Macaca mulatta: one gene and its partner. The protein of the gene in region 2 interacts with the protein of the main gene of each other region in a biochemical or structural test. Links are inferred from orthologs where the notes say so. Each region holds a gene or a part of one and is shown on either strand. Other genes may lie near its edges. The genes, in order: FGF14 and SCN8A.

Region 1 (3,830 bases), on a different chromosome or scaffold from region 2:
CCAGGAGGCGGAGCCAGGTTCCTCTGACTTCCTCTAAGTTACCCACTAGGTTGGCTCTTACCATCTCACTCATAGCTGATTTTGAGATAGGTTTTTAACTAGTAAACAATATGCTTAGATGCCCTGGCCTGTCTCAGTAAAAAGACAAGTGAAATGCCAAAGTCTAATCCTTTTCTTTTAGAAGGTATAATTTCAACCAATATATTTATTAGTCTTTTGGGGAGAAGCCAGATTTATAGCTTTCCATTTTGTTTTACTCACCATAAATGCATGAACATGTACTGTTTTATCAATCTTTTTTTTCTGGCGCATGGCCTGGACATTGACTCAGTGAGACTGTCATTTAGTAGTGAGAAAACTAATAGGAGGATATTTGGAGATGCAGAACTCAGTGGAAAGCCAGAGCATTTATTTGGATGGGGTCTTATTCTAATCTGAGGTAGCATCATCAAGAAGAAATAATGATCTCCATAAATTGCTCCAGGAGAGGGCTAAATCTGTCATTTGGCTATTGCAATTTCATCGAATTGATCATTGTAACTGTCATCTTTGTCTTGAAAAGCATCTGCCACTAACAAAGCCTGTTCCCCTTGGAAAACTATTAGCTCTCAGTGAATTAAAGTTATGTAGACACTGAATAAATTGTCTCCTGCATGAGAAAGCATTTGATAATTCACACTTTTATGGGAAATATTGAAAGGAAATTTCTACATGTCATTAGGTCATGTTCCTAATTACAGTTAGTATAAAGTTTTAGTTTTTAGCCCCTAAGGAATATTTTTCAGAATGGGTATACAACATTTTTAGAAGAAAAACAAAAGTTATTATTTTCTGCAATAATAAAATCTGTTAAAGAAAAATGAAAACTTTGTGTATATTTTTTAGTCCAGTGGTATTTTTTAAAAAGATCAAGGACAGTAAGGATCTATTTTCCATCTATATTTATATACATATAGAATAGCACAGTGTTAGACCTATTTAAAACTAGCTAAGTGTCTTTCATGGTTTATAACCAGACAGGTTGAATTTCAAATTTACTTTTAATAGAGGACTATCAAAAATGCATATGTAGATTGTACCTTTATCAATTTTTTTATTAATGTTGCATGGGATTATATTCATTATTATTCATTCCAAAGTAAGAAGTATATAAAAATCAGCTATGAATATTTCTGACATTAATAATAGTTGTAAAGTAGCAAGCTTTGTGCTGCTCATCAATTAATGTAGTCCATGGCATTGAGCATAGTAGTATTTAACAAACTGTATGCTTTCCGAAAATGCTGGGTGGTTTTTCAGTTGGAGCAGCTTTTGATGTTTATCTTCAAGAGTTCAAGGTTTGGAGCCCCATTGAATTATTTTCAGCTCCTGTCACTATGACCAGCTAACATGACACCTGACCTCATCTGGTATACAACAATAGCTCTAGTGGCTGGCAAGTAAGCCAGCTGATTGTCATGGTTTTAGTTTGAGGTTTCAGTTTGTTCCTTTGGAAGTAAAATGTATCACCCTACGATTTCAGTGATCCAAGGAACAACTGGCAGCTGTTAAGAGTATCGTATCACTGTTCCTATGGAAACATGTAAAATGGATTATAAAATATCTGAAATGTGTATTTTATTTGGTTCACTTTATTGTGAATATCTGATGCTACTTTAATGATCCCTTTCTGATTATACTCTGGTTGAACTGTCTTCTGTTTAAGTTAAATCTTTAGTTTGCTCATGTCTTCTGTTTTCTTATGATATACTTTTGCTTCTGTATATTCTCAACAGTAGCAGATTCTTCTCAATTTATTGTATATTTAAAAAATGTATAGACAATTATTGTGTGCAGGAAGGGGTATATCCGGTCCTCCATGCCAAAGGACTCTTTCACCATGCTGGGAAACGTTCTAGAGAATGAATAGAATGTACAGTGAAGATCAAGTTCCTTCCTCTAACCTTTGTTTCCTTTTCTCTCCACAGGAACTTTTTACCCCTGAATGCAAGTTTAAAGAATCTGTTTTTGAAAATTATTATGTAATCTACTCATCCATGCTGTACAGACAACAGGAATCTGGTAGAGCCTGGTTTTTGGGATTAAATAAGGAAGGGCAAGCTATGAAAGGGAACAGAGTAAAGAAAACCAAACCAGCAGCTCATTTTCTACCCAAGCCATTGGAAGGTGAGTATTATGTATGCATTATTATTACACAGACTTATTACACATTTTATTTTTCAAATTGATAGGTCTACCAAGGCTATAAGAAACCCTCACAAATGCTGGAAATGTCATTTATTTTGATCTGGGTGATGCTTGCACAGATGCCTACTTAAGTTATTCATTTAGTTTGTGCCCCTTATATACTTTACCGTATTTGCATATGTATGTGTACCAGGAAAAATTTCTTCTCTGCCACTTCCAGTGTCTCAAATCCTCACTGCTACAGCCACTCTAACTCTTAGATAATTTAATTAATTAATTTAAAACAATTTTAAATATGTAATGATACAAACCTGTGATAAGTGTATTAGAAAAAGATAATACGTATATTAGAAAAAAATAAGTTTTGAGTGTGGAATCAAAAGTGTTTTCCATTTTGATAATATCTAGGTGAAAGTAATTACTTACTTGTGAATTATTGTAATTACAGAAAATTAAGAGATAATAGCTTGACTCTTAAAAAACTTGCTGATGTTAAACATCTGCTTTCAAACTGCGTAATTCTTCACTGTATACAGTTGTAGCATTACTTCTTTTACTAAAATAATTTATCCACATTCATTTGTGTACAGGAAGGGATATATCTGGTCATCCATGCCAAATGAATAGAAACTTCACATTTACTTCAATCAGATACCCAAAGAGCAGGCTACAAAGTTTTTTTAATTAATCAACAACATCTGCACCTCTCTCATTAATTATTCTGCCAAAAGTGTCATTTACTTTTATCTATGTAACATTTGAGAATTACAAAAATATTTGATTTTAGGCTATTCACATGTGTTTTCTATTCAAGTACTTTTGTTTACTCTTTTGCAGAAGATCAGATCTACAATAACTCAATAAATATTTTAAGCTAGCTTGGACAGCTCATTTTTCTTTTTGTGTTTTATTCCTACAGGAAAGACTTAGCCATCAAGAGAAAATGCATATTGTTTTCATAATGCATATTCTCTATATTGAAATAAAAAAATTAAAAAATTTGAACAGTCAATTCTTCATTATCTGTGAGTGTATAATTAAGTTTCAGTTTGCCTAAATTCAGAAAATCACTCTTGTTGGCTAATACTACTTTTATAATTTCAATGATGTTGACTTACTGTCACTCTTAATTATATTTTTCTGTAGAACAATTTATTGAAACCGAAACAGCCACCAGGGCCTATGTAGGAAAAGACAAATTATTCCATAGTCTGTAATATGAGTGAATTATCTCAGTATATAGTGGATCATAAGGATGATTAGAATAGAAAGAAGTTAGAGGATTTCCCTGTACCTCCCAAAAAACACATCAATGATACACTTTCATTGTTTTAAATAAATTTTGATAACATTGGACTCACCAATATTTAAATGCAAATAAAAAATGTAAAAATAAGGCCACAGATGCTCTAACAAGACCATGGTTTATTTGCCACCTTGCTTTATCTCTTTTCACTCATTTTATGTTTTGTTAACAGTTAAGAATTGACTAGATTTTTAGAACCTTACCTTTTAGCTGCATAAATGTAACAAAACCCAAAAGGGCTGTTATGTCATTTAACCGAGGTAAAATTTGGGAACCAGTTATTTTGCATATCCCATAGAAAATATCTGAGACAATAATGATGTAGTATAGAATGGTA
Region 2 (3,830 bases):
CTGGAACATCCTAAAGAATTAATATTAAATTGCTTTCTCATGAAAACAAGTGCAGTAAAGAAACCAAGTGAGCTTGGTTCAGAGGCGGCTCCATCTCTACCTCAGGTCCCACCAGTGACTATTATTCTAATAATAAATGAAGGAAATCACAGCCGTAACCCCAGTGCTGCTACCCTCACCCACCTCTGTGGGCAAGGGAAGCCCTGCTCAGTGGAGAAATGTGATGGAGGCAGGGGAGCCATGCAGTGTGTGAGTACGCGACGACCCCTCTGCAGAAGAGAGAGGCCAGTTCAGAGTATCTGAACCCCTCGCGGCATCGACCCATGCCTGGAGAAAGCCACAATGCAGAGGACATGATACGAAATGAAATGAGCACCCCGTAACTCCCAATGAAAGGTCGTTTTAAGTTCCCCAAATTACCCCTAGAGATAACTGGTGCTACTTTGAATAGCACTTTAACTCTATCCCAAATAAGTGTCAATTCTCCAGTATGAAGGCTAAACGATCATCATAAATACTGCAAGATACAAATGAATTTTTTTTTTTAGCCCTAGGATTTGGTTTTACAGTGACATAAATAGTACAAGCCATTTGGGATCAAAGTCTCCCCCATGTACTGGACACAGAGCAGCATTAAATAGTTCATCTTGCAAAATGTGCAACAATGGCTGTATGTTAGAGATGTCTGTTAAACATATACACACAACGGATCCATCTGCTTGTTGGATTGGGTTTGTTTTTTGTTGGTGGTGGTGTTAGTCAATTAGTTGGTTATTTCCCTACCCAGAAGGTGTATGAAGGACTTTTAAGAACTCATAATAAAGAATTATAGCCGGTATGGAACTCTTACCATTTTCTCCAAATACAGTGAACGGTGCAGGGCTGGGTCCTGTCCAAAGGCTGACCCAATGCAAGGGACTAGATTAGTAGTGTCCTGTGGTGTATGGATCTCATGCATGACTTCTGATCACGGCATGCCATCATGCAAATCATTTCTACGCATTGAACGAGCACAATGTTTGGAATCGGCCTGAGCAAGTCCTCCTCAGCCTGAAGAAACCTGATTGTTTTCCCCCACCCATCTCCAAACCATGTGAAGCCCATGTGGAGAAGATGCGCTTTATGTCAAAGAAACTGACAATTAAATGACATGGGCTAAATGTGAGTGTGTGTGTGTGTTTTCTTTTTGCTGCTTAGCTTAACTAATGTAAGAATGCAAATATAGTTTGCATGAACAAACGAACTTTTAAAGTGATGCCTTCTGCTTCTGAGAATCAATAAAATGAAAAAATAAAATCCATTTGGCTGCAACGGAAATACGCTGGTCCCGGCAGCCTCTCTTCTGTTTCTGTATCTGGTTAGTTTTGTCCTAAGTTGCATTGACTGATGTGGAACATGCAGTAACCACCTGCCCAAGCATTAGAAAATCTGTGAGTCTAGGGAGCGGGGTCCTTTGCCCTTGGCAGGTCACTGCTCAAGATGCAGCTGTGTTATGTGGTAAGCAGACGACGTTTGGTATAGATCTTCAGGTTAGAGTCTCCACAGCTGTTCTGCATTGATAATATTCAGGAAGTTTGTAAACAATCTTTCACTTGCGAGTTTTAGATCTGTATAATACTGAATTTTTGTTCTCCTCTAACACTTGGATTCTCTGACCTCTTTTTGTCTTTTGGTTCTTTCCCTTCTTCCTTCCTCTGCCCGCTGCTGTTTCTCCTTTTCAGGTTTAGTTACACTGTCATAGGACGGGAGGGAGGCTGTAGATGGGGTGCTCTCTTTTTTCTCCCGGTGTGTGCCTCCATTCTCCAGCTTATTAGAAGTTGTCTTTTTGCAGATGAAGCCCCGCCTTGCCAAATGTCCCCGGTAGGCACGCTGCAGGACCACCGCAGATACCTCCTCCTGCTTGCGGCGCAGCGTGGTTGTGATTGGCTCGTAAGACACTTTGGAAGGATTGGATGCCACGAACCGCTCTTCCATCTGCTGCCGCAGGATGTCCAACTCCCCGCTATCTCCCAGGACCCGCTTGGTGAAGGCAAAAAGGATGTCCAAGCAGTGGATGCGATCCCCGCTCACCATTGGCAGATCCATAGCGATGAGCTCAATGGTATTGGGCTTGGGCACTCGGAGAGGATGCTCCAAGGCATCTGCAAAGTCTGCCAGCTTACAGTACTCAATGAACTGGGTAGCATCAGGGTCGAACTTCTCCCAGATCTCATAGAAGGTCTCAAAGTCATCCTCACTCAGAGGGTCTGCACTTTCCTCTGTGGCTACACTGAAGTTCTCCAGGATGATGGCAATGTACATGTTCACGACAATTAGGAAGGAGATGATGATGTAGCTTACAAAGAAGAAGATGCCCACTGAGGGGTTCCCACAATCTCCCTTAAAGCCACTCCCTGGGTGTTCCTTATCTAGGCTGCAGTCAGGGGGGCGGTTTAGGATGGGCAGCAGCAGGCCATCCCAACCAGCTGAGGTTGTGATTTGAAACAGGCAGATCATGCTGTTGCCAAATGTCTCAAAGTTGAACATGTCATCAATACCAGCCTCGTGCTTCACATATGCAAAATTGGACATCCCAAAAATGGAGAAGATGAACATGACCAGGAAGAGCAGAAGGCCGATGTTGAACAGGGCAGGCAAGGACATCATTAAGGCAAAGAGCAGGGTACGAATCCCTTTGGCACCTTTGATCAGACGCAAGATGCGCCCAATACGGGCCAATCGGATGACTCGGAATAGGGTTGGGGAAACAAAGTATTTCTCAATTATATCTGCCAGGAACATTCCTAAGAAGAGGAATAGAAGACGTTATGTTATTGAGATTGGAGACACCCTTTCTCTTTACTTTTTTTACCTGGCACTGTGGAACCCTTAGGTTCAAAGGGCTTTGCAGAATAAGTGCCTTACTATTCAGTCTGAACTCTCAAAAAGTGACATTTTGGCTGGGCATGGTGGCTCACGCCTGTAATCCCAGCACTTTGGGAGGCCAAGGCAGGTGGATTACTTGAGGCCAGGAGTTGGAGACCAGCCTGGCCAACATGGTGAAACCCTGTTTCTACTGAAAATAAAAAATTAGCTGGGCATGGTGGTGCACATCTGTAATTCCAGCTACTTGGGAGGCAGAGGCACAGGGATCACTTGAACCCGGTAGGTGGAGGTTGCAGTAAGCCGAGATCATGCCACTGCACTCCAGCCTTGGTGACAGAACAAGACTCCTGTCTCCAAAAAAAAAAAACCCAAACAAACAAACAAACAAAAAAAGTGACGTTTTAAACATACAGAAAAGTAGACAATAAAATAGACACCTATGTGCCAAACACTGCATAACTAACACACAAATTTGTTTTTTGATGCTGTTTTTTGTTTTGAGATGGGGTCTTGCTATGTTGCCCAGGCTGGTCTCAAACTTCTTGGCTCAAGTGATCCTCCTACCTCAGACCTCCCGAGTAACTGGGATGGAGCAAAGATTTAATACAGGCTAGCATTTTGCCAATTTTTCTTCCTCTTTCATCATTCCCAGATGAAGCATCCACAATCCTGAAGATGGTATGTATCATTCTAGTGTGTGTGTTTATAGATTTACTATGTAAGAATCCTATATAATTTCCTACTATGGTTAGGAAATTATACTGTATCTGTCTTATTGATTTAGTTTAAACATTTTGTAGAGATGGGGGTCTTGCTATGTTGCCCAGGCTGTTCTTGAATGCCTGGGTTCAAGCAGTCCAATCCTCCCTCCTCAACCTCCCAAAGTCCTGGGATTACAGGTGTGAAATGCCACATCCAGGCTGTATCTGTCTTCTGAGGTCCATCTGTTTAGGTCTCTACCTTGT

The links.
Region 1: the proteins of SCN8A (region 2) and FGF14 form a complex in vitro, tested with the Homo sapiens proteins (2 studies listed by BioGRID). The link is inferred for Macaca mulatta from reciprocal best matches to the Homo sapiens genes SCN8A and FGF14.

The regions. Positions count from the first base shown.
Region 1 is NC_133422.1:96,370,790-96,374,619, reverse strand, and holds part of FGF14 (fibroblast growth factor 14), read left to right. Parts: intron 1-1,967; coding exon 1,968-2,166; intron 2,167-3,830. UniProt on the Homo sapiens protein: Probably involved in nervous system development and function.
Region 2 is NC_133416.1:58,987,434-58,991,263, reverse strand, and holds part of SCN8A (sodium channel protein type 8 subunit alpha), read right to left. Parts: intron 2,784-3,830; coding exon 1,636-2,783; 3' UTR 1-1,635. UniProt on the Homo sapiens protein: Pore-forming subunit of a voltage-gated sodium channel complex assuming opened or closed conformations in response to the voltage difference across membranes and through which sodium ions selectively pass along their electrochemical gradient.